Callithrix jacchus: one gene and its partner. The protein of the gene in region 1 interacts with the protein of each later gene in a pairwise test. Links are inferred from orthologs where the notes say so. Each region holds a gene or a part of one and is shown in the gene's direction. Other genes may lie near its edges.

Region 1 (6,198 bases):
GGTGAGTGTCAGCCTGTGGGTAGCTCATGCTAGATGTTGTAATTTCATAATCTGTTTTCTTGCCCCGTAGAAATTTGGGATTCAGCTGAAAGAAATTGACAAGGAAGAGCACCTGTATATTCTCATCAGTACCCCCGAGTCCCTGGCTGGCATACTGGGAACGTAAGATGGGAAAGGAGGTGGAACATGGCCTTTCTCAGTGGTGCTTTTTTTCCGGGAGTTTCACATAGGTCAGGGTCCAAGGTTAAGGGTCACATAGCGGGTCATGGGCAGAGCTGGGGTATAATTCTCCCCTACCTGAGGGTTATTGGGGAGGCTAGATGGGCAAGCTGGTTGGGGTCTCTCATGCAAATGGCTGCGGAAAACATATTTCTGTATTCCTATAGGACCAAAGACACACCCAAGCTCGGTCTCCTCTTGGTGATTCTGGGTGTCATCTTCATGAATGGCAACCGTGCCAGTGAGGGTGAGTGGCTGGACCTGCAGCTGGGGGTTGGCCACAGCCTGATTTCCATGCTCATTTTCCGTCCCTTGTCTCCCCTTGCCTCCCATTGCAGCTGTCCTCTGGGAGGCACTACGCAAGATGGGACTGCGTCCTGGGTATGATTGGGCTCTCTCATCTCGTGCCTGTTTGTACCATCCTTTGGCAACAGAGGATGGTCCCAGGATTGCATTAACCTGGGGATCTGGAGAGTTTGGTTTGGGGATATTCAGAGCCCAAGGATGTGACCTGGGTGGATGGGGAAACAGTTCTGAACTCTCTGCCTGTTTTCTCATCTCTGACCTCTGTTCTGGAAAGCTCTTTGGGCACGGTCATAGCCTCTGATTACAGGTTTCCTTTTTTTACTTTCAGGGTGAGACATCCCTTACTTGGAGATCTAAGGAAACTTCTCACCTACGAGTTTGTAAAGCAGAAGTAAGTGATGCCTAAGGGGCTTTTCCTGCTCCTTATGATTCTGCCTCTGTTCTGGTCAGCCTTAGAAAGCCCTTCCTGGCTGGATATAGTGGCTCATGCCTGTAATCCCAGCACTTTGGGAGGCTTAGGTGGGCAGATTGTTTGAGCCCAGGAGTTCAAGACCAGCCTGGGCAACATAACGCAACCCCATCTCTACAAAAAATACAAAAATTAGCCAGGCATGGTGACATGCACCTGTAGTCCCAGATACTTGGGAAGCTGAAGTGGGGGAGAATCATCTGAACCCAGGAAGCTGAGGTTGCATTGAGCCATGATTGTGTCACTGCACTCCAACCTGGGCAACAGAGTGAGACCCTGTCTCAAAAAAAAGAAAACCCTTCTCAAGCTCATTTCTTACACTATACCTATGCATATGTGTTTCTGTGTGTACAGAAACACATATGTCCTCAGAAGTATTTATTGCATATACTCTTCATGGTTGAATTCTTTTTTTTTTTTTTTGAGACTGAGTCTCGCTCTATCACCCAGGCTGGAATGCAGTGGCACAATCTCAGCTCTCTTGAACCTCCACCTCCCAGGTTCAAGTGATTCTGGTGCCTCAGGCCCCCAAGTAGCTGGGACCACAGCCCTGTGCCACAATACTCGGCTGTTTTTATATTTTTGGTAGAGATGGGGTTTCACCATGTTGGCCAGGCTGGTTTCAAACTCCTGACCTCAAGTGATCTACCCACCTCGGCCTCCCAAAGTGCTGGGATTACAGGCATGAGCCACCACACCTGGCCCATCCACCATCCTCAAAGTAGGCATTCCCACAGCTGGGCCAGGGAATCCTTTGCACTGCATTGTAATCATTTCATTGGACCTCTGTGGATCACTGACAAGATTACAAGAATCTGGAGCTAATGCTGAGGCAGAAGTTGTGAAATAAAATGTCCTTTCTGTGACTCTACACAAGCCTCACCTGCAGCTCTATGAGAGTGCTTAGTATACTAGTGCAGGAATTCAAGGCTTGATGATTAAGGGGCAAATATCCTGATGGTGTTCAGGAATGAGCCTGAGGGGCAGTCGCTATCTGAAATCTGATGTTAAAAAATGTAGGATTATTTTTCATTAGCGGACTACCATTCTGTCTGTGTAGGTAGACACAAAGACTGTTTTGCTCTTTCAGATACCTAGACTACAGACGAGTGCCCAACAGCAACCCTCCTGAGTATGAGTTCCTCTGGGGCCTCCGTTCCTACCATGAGACTAGCAAGATGAAAGTGCTGAGATTCATTGCAGAGGTAATGGAGGAACTGTTCCCGCATTGATAGGTCAAGGGATGAAGTATCGCTGGCTAGGGAAGGCCCAGGGCAGGGATGAGATCCTAGGTATGGCACGTGGTAGGTGCCACATTACTGGTGGTATTTGTTGTTGCTGTTACATAAACTTAACATGTATTAGGTGCTAAAATATGTTAATATATTAGCTAATACAGTTTTGAATTTGGGTTTTTTTTTCTAGGTTTTTAAAGTATTTCTACTTTTCCTCAACTTTACTAAAGTACAATTGACAAAAATTGTATATATTTATGGTGTACAATGTGATTTTTAAGTATTTTGTTTTTTCATTCATTTATTTTTATTTTTCCCAAGATGGAGTTTTGCTGTGTTGCCCAGCCTGGAGTGCAAGGGTGCGATCTTGGCTCACTGTAACCTCTGTCTCTCGGGTTTGAGTGATTCTTGTGCCTCAGCCTCCCAAGTATCTGGGATTACAGGTGCATGTCACCACCATGCCCAGCTAATTTTAAATTTTTTTTTAGTAGAGACAGGGTTTTGCCGTGTTGGCCAGGCTGCTCTCGAATTCCTGACCTCAAGTGATCTGCCTGCCTCAGCCTCCCGAAGTGTTGGGATTACAGGCGTGAGCCACTGCACCCAGCCCATTCATTTTTTAATTGACTAATCAAAAGTATGCATATTTATAGGGTGCAACATGATGTTGTCATAATACATGTACATTGTGGAATGATTACATCAAGCTAGTTAATTCTCCATTGCCTCATATACTTGACTTTTTTTGTGATGAGAACATGTAAGATGTACTCTCTTAGCAATTTTAAATGTACAACACATTATTATTAACTATAGTCATCATGCTATACAGTAAATCTCCAGAACATATTCTTCCTATCTAACTGAAACTTTGTACCTTTTAACCAATATCTCCCCATCCTTCCTGACCCAAGGCCCTGGAAACTACCATTCTACTCTCTGCTTCTATGAGTTAGACCTTTCTGGATTCCATGTATAAGTGAGATCATCCAGTATTTGTCTTTCTGTGACTGGCTTATTTCACTTAGCATAATGTCATTCAGTATCATTCATGTTATTGCAAATGGCAGGATTTCCTTCTTTTTAAAGGCTGAATAAGTATTCCATTGTGTGTATGTATCACATTTCCTTTATCCATTGATGGACATGTAGGTTGATTCTATATCTTGGCTGTTGTAAATAGATTTTGTTTTATTTTCTATTCTTCATCTCAGGTTCAGAAAAGAGACCCTCGTGACTGGACTGCACAGTTCATGGAGGCTGCAGATGAGGCCTTGGATGCTCTGGATGCTGCTGCAGCTGAGGCTGAAGCCCGGGCTGAAGCAAGAACCCGCATGGGAATTGGAGATGAGGCTGTGTCTGGGCCCTGGAGCTGGGATGACATTGAGTTTGAGCTACTGACCTGGGATGAAGAAGGAGATTTTGGAGATCCCTGGTCCAGAATTCCATTTACCTTCTGGGCCAGATACCACCAGAATGCCCGCTCCAGATTTCCTCAGACCTTTGCCGGTCCCATTATTGGTCCTGGTGGTACAGCCAGTGCCAACTTTGCTGCCAACTTTGGTGCCATTGGTTTCTTCTGGGTTGAGTGAGATGCTGGGTATGTATATCACTTTGGATTGGGCAGTTAGGGTCTCTGGGGGACAAGGGGTCCATGGGATTGTATTTATGTGTATGAGCTAGAAGTCTTAGGAAACTCATTGTGGGGAGATGAGGAAAGTATGGGGCAGCACTCTTTGGTATGTATACTTCTTATTATTTGATATATATCATTGATTTTTTTACTTTTTCTTTCTTATGTTCACAGATATTGCTATCAATCGCAATAGCGTTTCCCCTGAGTGAGGCTGAATCCTCGGATTCCTTCTAAACACAGCTATCTAGAGAGCCACATCCTACTGACTGAAAGTGGCATGCAAGATAAATTTATTTGCTGTTCCTTGTCTATTGCTTTTTTTCCCCTTGTGTGCTGTCAAGTTTTGGTATCAGAAATAAACATTGAAATTGCAAAGTGAATTAGATGTGCCTCCTGTTTCTTTTTTTTCCCTACATTTGGGGAGCAGGCAACATGTAGGAGAGACAGGACCTTAGCTCTAGTTTGAAGGGTAGATCAGCTTTCAGCAGGTGGAAATGAGGATAGATCCAGCTAATGGATTGGGATACAAAGGCGGGATTAATGAACACAACGAGACCCAAGAACTAGTATAGTTTATTCAATAAATATGACTTCAGTGACTCTCATGTGATACATATGCTGCTAGGTGTCCCGGAGTGCACTGTGAGAAGGGTAATAGTGAGAGAGGGCATAGGTGCTCAGACAGTTGCATTTAAGAACACAGAGGAGACAAAACTCCTGGAGTCCAGAGCCTTATCTGGATGATAAGGTCCAGAGAGTAGGTAGTTGAAGGGTCAGAAGGTGACTGTTCTGGAGATAAAGGGTACCTGGCCTGTGATTCCAGGGTGGTGTTTATACAACCCACGTGGAAAGTGAAATAACTGCAGGAGAGTGGCAGGAGTAGGAATAGAGAACACCGTGAGTTAGATGCCAGAGTCTCCTCTGTGAGAAGGAAGATATACCCCTAGCCACATTGCTCATAAAGGGATGGGCTCCCAGGTACTCCTCCCCATCTCTGGAAATGCTGCCCAGGAGCCTGTCCTCTAGGAGGCCCTCACAATCTCCCGCCCACAGAGGACCAGGGCCACATCATAGAGACAGAGTCTTATGGACAGTGAAGGAGGCCTTACAATGGCTTCTTCTCTCCTGCAGGGAGAAAGAGAAGCCTTTGTTCCTTCAGGAACAAGAAGTACAGAGTAAGACAAAGCTCCATGCAGAGCTAGGCAGCCTTTGACTGTGACTGAGCAGGAACTTGGCTTGAGCTGCCAAGGTCTATGCTGGAAGCAAGGCTCTCTCACTGAGCACAAAATTAGGCCTAGGCCATAACTTCCTTAGGCGCTTGGTGGTATCCGGACATGTGGACAAGGGTGGAGACAGGAGCTCCTGGGGCAGAAAAAAGAGCAAAGGCAATCTGCGCACTTGGGAAGGGTTTGGTAGTGGGTAGGGATGGTGTCCGCTGCTTCCTCAGGGTCCCGGGTGATGTCCACATTCTGAGGAGAGAGCACAGGATTAAAAGGAAGGAGACAGCAGGGTAGGGTCCCAGCCCCTCCCCTGCCTCTTGTCCTCACTGCCAGGCTCCCCTCTTTTAGCCAGGCCTGGATCCTGACCCTCAGGTAGGCCTTGTGGATATCTCAGCCTGAGGCCTTTTTGGCAGGAATTGCCCAGCCCGCCATCTCCATGTGCCTGAGGGCTGGGCTGTGGTTCCTGCATTTCTGGGTGCTGGTTGCTCTGCCTGTTGGTGCAAAACACCCAGGCTCGGTGGGGTTGGGACAGGCTTTCTGTGGAGAAGGTGCTTTCACCATGTGCTGTGTCCACAGCCAGCTTGGGCAGCGGAGTCCTCCACCTACCTCAGGCTTCTCCCGGTGTGTGTTCACGGCCCCCACATTCAGGTAGATGGACTCCACCTTGCAGCCTTGGAAAAGAACAATCCATCTGTCCATAAGCCCCTGAGGTAGGCGCAGGTCTCCCCTCAGGTATCACCTCTCCCCATCACCACCCACACCCCCAGCTTCATACTGTGTACAGATTGTCAGTCGCCTGTAGGGAGGGAAATTCAGACAGCTGTGTGATGTGTGGGGAAGACACCAGGCCTAGGAAGCAGCCAGCAGGGCATCCTGTCACCTCTGCCCCTAACAGTCTTAGTTTTCTGCACTTCAGTTGCACATATGTAAATGGGGATGGAGATGAGAGATGAGGTCTATGGCTGCCCAGAGCTCTTGTGGTCCACATGAGAGCAATCTCATCTGTGTAATATTGATGTAGCTCTGCAGATCCTCCAAGCTGTGTTAGGTGCTGAGGAGGTGGAAGAGTCCTGGGGCCACTGCCTTGGGCAATCAGTGGCAGGCGAAGTTTATCTG
Region 2 (7,964 bases), on another chromosome or scaffold:
AAGTCCCTCAGACAGCAGGCCGCAGCTTTCCTCCAGCACTGTGCTCCAATTATGTTATGGCTTTGTGTCTGCCTCCTTGACTCAACCCAAATGAACAGGAGCCATCTATCTCTGTATCTCTGCAATCACAGGCACAAAACAGGTGCTGTGTACCTGTTTTCTGACCTGAGAAGCCATTCTAAGAGGGTCTCAGGCTAGAGTTCTGTCCAGTATTCCATGCAGAGGCTGACAGGACTGCAAGGAAAAAAACACTTGAGATGCTCAAATAGCTTCTTGTTTTGCTTTGACTACCAATAATCACAGAGTGCAATAGAATAATGCTCAAATACATTAATATCTTACCTGATCCTTGGGTTCCTCTCTACTTTTAAAGCCTCAAACTTTCTCCCTCTCACAGATGAAAAAAGGAAGTATGAATACATTCCCTCCCTTGCTCTGTGGATCCATTCCTACAAGTAGTCAAGACTCCAAGCCTCCCCTCCGACTTGCTGGCAGTGCTTCGCCTCTCCCCACAGATGAGTGCAGGAACAATTCTGATGGACTTCGGACTCTCCCGACAGAGTCAATCCCTCCCTGTCACGTTGGAGTGGACTTGCTACCATATCATCAGCAGCCCCCTGACAAACTTCAAAGGGCAGGGGGCTTCTTAGGAAACAACCCTTTCCCTCCACCAGCTCAGAGAACTTGTTCCAGATAGATGCCAGGATCCTTGGAGGAGTATGGTGATTCTGGGGTGGAGCCTCTGGCCCTGGCCAACCAAAGAAGGCCTGAGCCACTCTTCCCCACAAATTGATTGGTGCAGGAGTGGGCATGTAAGCTGCACCCAGCCAATCAGCATAACCAAATCCCTTGCTCACCCTGGGGAGGGTCCTATAGTTGTTGCCAAAAAAGGCTCAGCCCTGTTCTCAAGAAGCTTACAACTGGTAAGGGCAACAGGCTTTCGTCTATCATTATACAAAATTTCATTTCAATAGTTGCAATTAGAACTGTGAAGGAAAAGAATACTCTCCCTAATTTTACTTGGTATTAAGATTTAAAAAAAAAATAACACTGCCTGAAGAAGTGTTATGGCCTCTGTATAACAGTGGCTGCAAACATTTGCCCATTATGTGAACCCATGTGACAAATTCATCAGAGGATTTTGCACTAGGGAGAAAAATTTCTGTTAGAGAAAGCACATCAGTTTGGACTGAAAGACAAAGAAAATTCATCAGCCAATTCCGCTGAGCTTTTTTGATGGGGCACCTGGAGGCTGAGAGCTAAAGTGATATTCAGGAACAGAGACTGCTACTTCTGTTCCTGGTGAATCCTGCTCCAAACTTCCTCTCTCTCTCTGATTCCTTGATTCCACTGTGCCAAGATGTCTGCTCCCAAAGATGTCAAAACTAAAGGGAAATTGCAAAATATATATATTTTTATAGAAGGGAAAGTAAGATTATAAAAAGTGTGTTTTATCCCGCCCCCCTCAAGTTCCACTAAGAACTTCCTGACTTCCAGTCCCAGGGTGGGGTTGTGCCCCACCCACCAGCCTGCCCTGCTTTCCTGGACCAAAACTTCCTAGCAGCTAAGCAGGGAATAAGGGCAGATAAACTAAACCAGCAAAGGAATCTGTTTCTGCTAGACTCAACTAACATGACCACCATGGGGAAAGTATCTAAACAAAATAAGAGCAAACTCTCTTAAAGAGCAACCTGGTGGCTTTGCCATTCGCTTTCAGCCACTCTATACACAGGACTCAGGGCCAAGCCCCTTACCATCATCATCTCATCCATTTCCCAAAGAAAGCAGCAGGAACTCTTACTCTCACATTTCACAGATGGGGAAGCTGAGGCTGGGAAAGATTATGTTATTTGCCAAAGCCACACACAACTAGTAAAAGCCACTGACAAGATTCCAGCACAGGCCATCAGATGCCAGGGGGCAGCATGTTTTGGCATCAGAGGCCCTGCCTGGGAATGAGAGCATGCAGAAAATCTCATTCGAGATGGGAACAAAACTCGGAAAATTGCTAGCATGCAGGGAGAGAGGAAGGTGTGATTTCCTGCTACAGACTTCAGAGTAAAAGCCACCCCAGGAGTGCCTGTGCAGCCCTCCATAGTAAAGGTCCAGTGGTTCCATTTATGCCAAAAGAGGCCACTGCTGCTTGGAGTATAAGGAAGTTTCCCATGACAAGGTTGGATGCGCCAGCCTTGGCTTAGCAGCACTAGGGCTGGACCCAACAAGTCTTTTTCACACAAAAAGCAGACAACAGGAGCAGGTAGAAGTTGGGGCTAAAATTCCCACAGCGCGGGGTCCAAAGACAGTAGATGCACTTTCCCCAGGCCCAGGTCTGCTAGTGCGGTCACCGGGGACTCGTTATCTTAACTTGCAACCCTGGGTGCACAGAGCTCACACACACACTGGAGAGGGGTTCCTGCTGTTGACGGTTGAAAGGAGGGTATGGAGTCCCTGGAACAGCACGACAGAGGGCAGGGGCCACCTGGCAGGGCCTGAACGCCGAGGCCTCCGTGAGCTTGGGTCGGGCAGGCTTCCCCTTTCGGAGGCTGGGGAAGGGGTCCTGGGTCTCTACGTTTCCAGGCCAAGCAGCCCTGGAGGCACGGACTAGCAGGACGCCAAGGCGGCGCGGGTCGTGGCCTCTCCCGCAGCAGCTGTTGGCGAGAACCAGGCAGGGAGGCGCCGCTGCTGACGGCACCTCATGAAACATTCAGGCCCGGCTGCCGCGCTGCCATCTCCCGGCACCTTGCTCCCGAAACTGTTGCTCTGGATCCCATGGCCGTCGGAAGGCAGGCTCGGCCGCTCCAGTTCCTGAGAGTGACAGGCCACAGCCAGACCTGCCCTGTGGTCCCATCCCAGAGTCCCAGCAGCAAGTAGGCTCAGACTGGGCACTTCAGAGTACCAAGAGTAAGTTCGGTCAATTGGTTTCCCCCACGAGACTTTGGGCACAGGGTTATCTGGCCGCGGGGCAACGCTGGGGAGCCCTGTGGCCCGAGGGTGGGCGAAGGGCAGGCTCCCAGTTCCCTTCCATCTAGCCCGTCTCCCAGTGGCAGCCAGGAACAGGCCTGCAGGGCCACAGGGGTGCAGGCGTCACCGTTCGCAAGCCCGGAGCAGGGTGGCCGCTGGGGGATGTGCAAGCACAGGGGTTGGACAAGGGGCCGCACAAGTGTCTGTCCTGAGAGGTCAGTCTCCCCTTTCCTCACCAGCCCAGGCCCTGAAGAGAGGGAAGGAGGCAATCCGCCAAGCAGGGCAGGTCGGATGGCACCCCCACACCCAAACACAGAAACCCTGGGGTCTGTCCGCCAACCTCCTGGGCTGCCACGCTCTGCGCAGGGACTCTCCCTGCCAACACGCAAAACCAGCTCCCTCCCGCAGGCTGAGCAGGAAGGAGAAAGGTCCAATCTCAAACCGTCCCCCGCAACTAGACCACCAGCCCCCGTCTAAACGGAAGTAGGGCCAGCCCTTCAAGAGTTAGGTGGGAAACTGAGCCCTGGGAAAGAAAGGGCGCCCGGGCCAGGCTGGGACCCGCTGCGGCTTCGCAGGCTGCCAGGCCCCTCCACGGAGGTCCGAGGGCGCGTTCCTCGGCCTCCAGACTCAGCTGCCAGCCGCGCGGACCCCAGCCCGCGCCCCGAGGGAGGCCGGGACCCCTAGGCGGCGGGACTGCGCGCCGCCCCTCCCCGCAGGTCCAGGCTAGCGCCTAGCTTCCCCTCCCCCCTTCCCGCCTCCCGGCGGGTGTCCCCGCCTTCCCCGCGGGCGACGGGCGGCGGCGGCGGGAGGAGCGGGCCGAGCTAAGGCAGCCCCGGCCTCGCGCTCTGGGATGTAGCGAACCAGCAGGGGCCGAAGGAACTGGCAAAGCCGGAGCCAGAGCCAGAGCCAGAGCTGGATCCCGGGCCCCAGCCGGAGCCGAAACCTGAGCCAGAGTCCGCGGCGGGCGAGCCCGGAGCAGACGAGCGGCAGACGCAGCGCTGCCCAGGTGGGGTAAGAGACGCTGGGCTAGGGGCACAGGGTCTCCGCGGTGGAGGGGAGCAGGGAGGTGGCGGCCGGCCGAGTCCTGCGCAGTTTGCTCCTGGCGTGTGTGGGTCCAGCCGGCGACACGCGACAGCGCAAGGCGCGGAAGGTCAGGAGCCTTCGAGGCAGGAGCCCGTGCGTGCGCCCAGGGCACAATCATAGCCGCCGTCACCTAACCGGTGGGATCAACCCTCCGCTTCGGCCCCGGGCACCCCAAGCGGGTAGCAGCCTCGGGGGCACGGGCCACGGCTCCGCAAAGGGCACAACCCCGTGGCAGCCCATAGCGGCGGCGCGGGAGGCAGGGCCTCCCGACCCCCAGGAGAAATGGGCAGGAGAGAGGGCCTCCCGCTGCTCCTCACTGCGTCCAGGGATGGAGGGCCCCACCACCCATGGAACTGCTGGCCCCTCTGCGTGGCCCGGGACTTCGGCCGTAGCTTCGCATCAAGAGGGTATTTTTCCTAAACGAAACCGCTTCATTCGTTCGTTCGTTCGTTCGTTCGGGCAGCAATGATAACGAAAAGCAGCAGACATCGGCCAGCGCCCTGGCTCTCTTCGCCCCGGACTCCGACGTCCCGCCTCAGCGCTCGGAGGTGCCCCCAGCCCACCGCGGCCTGCCCTCGCCGGCACAGGTCCGGCTTTTTCTTCCCATGAGAAAAACCCCAAATTCCCTTCTTAACGTCCAATAAAGACATTCCCGCGGCTTCTCCCGGGTTTGGTTGTTGACGCAGTTCCCGGAGCACGCAGCCGCTTCTCAAGAACCGGGTCTCGGACTTCTGAAATTGACCAGCTTCGTAAATTGGAGCCCATTCTCCCGCGGCAAAGGCAGGGCTCCAAAGCCAGGATGGCAGTCATGGGAACCCCAGGCTGAAATCCGGGTCCCAAGATTTTCCGATTTAGGAATTCCCTGAATCTACAACGAGTTAGTCCACTTTTCTGAAAAACTAAGACTTGTGTATTCTCTGGACATCGCTGTGACCTCTGAAAGCCACCAGGTCCAGAGGGAGGAAATCCCAGGTTGCTGTCCACTGAGGGAGGATTCAGGTCTAGGGTTCAGGTCTAGGGTAGTCAGGCCAAAAGCTACAGGCAACCGGGGCAGCACAGAAGACTTGCTGTCCCCGTGCCCTTTCATGGGGCTGCTTTGGGCTTCCCGCATCTCTGCCAAGGAAAGGAAAAGAGGTGGGCTGGGGCGCGGAGACCAGGCTGTCTGGACTATAGGATGCAGGGGCCTCCAGACAGACTCAGGGTGCTCTTCTCCCACCTAGCCGCTGGGAAGAGGAGGCTGTGGTGCATCATAACCCGCCCCTCTGCTCCCCAGTTGTGTGACCAGCTGCACCTCCTTCCTAGTCTTCTTCCCCACAGCTCAGCCATTCTCAGGATCTAGAAAACTTCTGTTGGAATTAGGTGAGAGGTGGGCCGGGAGAGCCTTCGTCCTACCAGCCGCTGGCCCACAGCACGGAGTCCTGAGTTCTGTAATCCCATCTGTGCCTCACTGGTGGCAGTCCTGCCCAAATACATCCTGGCTCTCCCAGGAACAGGCTGGGGATCCTCAATTGGCTGGAAGCCTCAGACTGGGGTCCCAGGAAGCCTAAAGGAGCCAGTGAGGTCTTTCCAGCCCCTACCTGAGCACCCTCCTCCCTGCTTATCCAGTAATTGCTGTAGTCAAAGGAACAAGAGCTTTTATTGGGGAGGGGGTGTTAGATTAGGCAGAAGAGGTAGGTGGTCTAGGCTGCACTACCAAAACTGGGTTTTCAAGTTTGAACCTCTCCACGGACTAAGAGGCTTAGGGCTGGAATGTCCCAGAGAGTCAAGGATAGCCCTGGTAGCAGGCCATGGCACATTCCTTCCTTTTTCTAAAATACCTTGATTCTCAGAGCAAGGATTAGAGCAGGGTGCCCCCAAGGGTAGGTAGAAGGATACCTCTCCATGAGAGCATCCTAACCACCCTTCCCCAATTACATTACTAAACCATTCTTGGACACAGGCTGTTTTTAGTGAGCCCGGCTTCAGGAAGGGTCCTCTTGGTGACTGCTTCAACTCCACAACAGCCCAGGCTCTTCTGTTCAGCCCAGCCAGGACCCTAAACTCCAAAGAATCACAGAATCATTGCTGACTTTGTGTGGCGAGGGATGGTGTGGGGAATAGGACACATGGTTCCAGCTCCACTAAACCCCTTTCCCTCCTCTCTTCGAGTCCCATCAGCAAGCGAGCTAGATGCTGAAGCAGCAGACAGAGTCCCATATTGGACATGGGAACTGAGGCACAGGGCAGATCAAGCCTTGATATTGAGGCAAACACAGGTCACACAGCACAGTTGGAGGAACACCAAGCCTCTTCTTACTCCTGAAAGAGTGCTGTCTTCTGTCCTGTGTATGTGATGTGTCTGTGAGTGTGCAAGAAGCCCCTGTCTTGACTGGGACAATGGCCAGTGAGAGAGTGTAGCCGGGGAAGAACAGAGAGCATGTCCAGGTCCCTTCCCCAGCCAATGCCCAGGATCAGGCCACAGCCTCCTCACTCCTTGATCACTCAGTGCTGCCCAGGCCAAGCGGGACACACTCCCCTAGCAGGCCTCACTAGCCCCATCCCCTCTTTGGGTCTCAGGTCCCCTGAGGATAGGGGCTTCACCTGAAACAGTCTGAGGGCTTTTCCATCCACACAGCAGGTAACGAGATTGCCAAATAAAGGGACTATTGTGCTTGCCTGGAGCTTGGCCAGAGGTTTGGGCCCAGAGGGGCACACAGCAGGTGCTCAATAACTGCATTAAATGCACCAGCAGTAAGGATACAGGCCCCAGACTAATCAGTGAGTGCTGCTGAGTCACAAAACAGTCCCCATCCAGGGACAGCCCAAAGAGTCACTTTGGTCCCTCCGGGAAATGAAGGGGCTGTGAGTCCCAGCCTCCTCTGGATGCCCACAGACAGACCATTCATTTCTAAGTCTCTGCTCAGAGATGCACTGTGCTTCCCACCTTGGCCTGACATGTGGTGGGTTAGAACACACCTCCTATCCCCTACCAGCCAGCGTTCATGCCAAGTAGCACATATATGCCTCAACTCAGCACTTCCATAATGCAGTGAGTGCATGTGTGTGCAGAGCATGCTGGCATGGATGTACAGGACGTGTGTGTATGTGCGCGCACGCGTGCGTGCCCCCATGCTGTATGCATGCAGGCTGTTCTATGCGGTAAGACAGCTAAAGGGAGAATGGTGTGTGAAGGGACACTCCCGAGCATGCTGCGGCACCTGAATATCTCCTTGAAAGGAGGGATCTTCTGCTGCAGGAGACTTAGCCAAGAAATGTGGTAAAGGTGGAGCTGAGGGCAAATGCTGTGCAACTGTGCTTCTCCATGTCCCCCTCCCCGTGGCCAGGACTCGTTTCATGGAGGGAGATCTCAGCTTGGAAGAAGGCAGGAGCCTCCCCAACCAAACTCCTGGGAAGTGTCCTCCCTCCGGCCTCAGACCCTGCCTCCTGTGGTCACAGATGCACAGTGAGAAAGGGTCAGGCCCTAAGGAGCTGCTGTCTCTCCCTGCCCCACAGTTGGGGGGCAAGGGGGGCTGGGGCTAACATGGAGGGAATGGAAGGCAGGCCTCGTTCCACACTGTGTGCCTGCCCCTGACCCCAGCATCCCTCACAAGAGCTCAACCTGACCCTGGGTGTCTCCCTGTGATGGGAAGGGGTAAAGCGAGGACTCAAAGGCAGAGCCTGCAGAGTGCCCCAGAGGCTGATACCTGCACCGTCAGTGCCACCCACCCAGGAGGTGAGGAGGCACTGGGTTTTGGGGTGAGGACACTGGACACCTCCCTGGAGAGCAAGGCAGTGCTTCTTTCCCAGGCTGACAATCTCCCTGGTGCTGCTCCCTTGGGTTGCTGTGTCTGGTGGAGCTGGTCACAGGTGAGGGGCAGAGGGCAGTCTGGGGTCCGCCTATGGTCAGAGGAGCAGGTCAGGGCGGTGCCTTGCTGCCCCAG

The links.
Region 2: the proteins of melanoma-associated antigen D1 (region 1) and PITX1 interact in binary tests that used the Homo sapiens proteins (3 or more experiments, as listed by UniProt). The link is inferred for Callithrix jacchus from reciprocal best matches to the Homo sapiens genes MAGED1 and PITX1.

The regions. Positions count from the first base shown.
Region 1 is NC_133524.1:52,174,708-52,180,905, forward strand, and holds the end of melanoma-associated antigen D1, read left to right. Parts: intron 1-70; coding exon 71-162; intron 163-386; coding exon 387-466; intron 467-557; coding exon 558-600; intron 601-853; coding exon 854-916; intron 917-2,084; coding exon 2,085-2,199; intron 2,200-3,440; coding exon 3,441-3,818; 3' UTR 3,819-3,826; intron 3,827-4,033; 3' UTR 4,034-4,242; downstream 4,243-6,198. UniProt on the Homo sapiens protein: Involved in the apoptotic response after nerve growth factor (NGF) binding in neuronal cells. Inhibits cell cycle progression, and facilitates NGFR-mediated apoptosis. May act as a regulator of the function of DLX family members.
Region 2 is NC_133503.1:33,465,175-33,473,138, reverse strand, and holds the start of PITX1 (pituitary homeobox 1), read left to right. Parts: upstream 1-3,809; 5' UTR 3,810-3,972; intron 3,973-7,964. UniProt on the Homo sapiens protein: Sequence-specific transcription factor that binds gene promoters and activates their transcription. May play a role in the development of anterior structures, and in particular, the brain and facies and in specifying the identity or structure of hindlimb.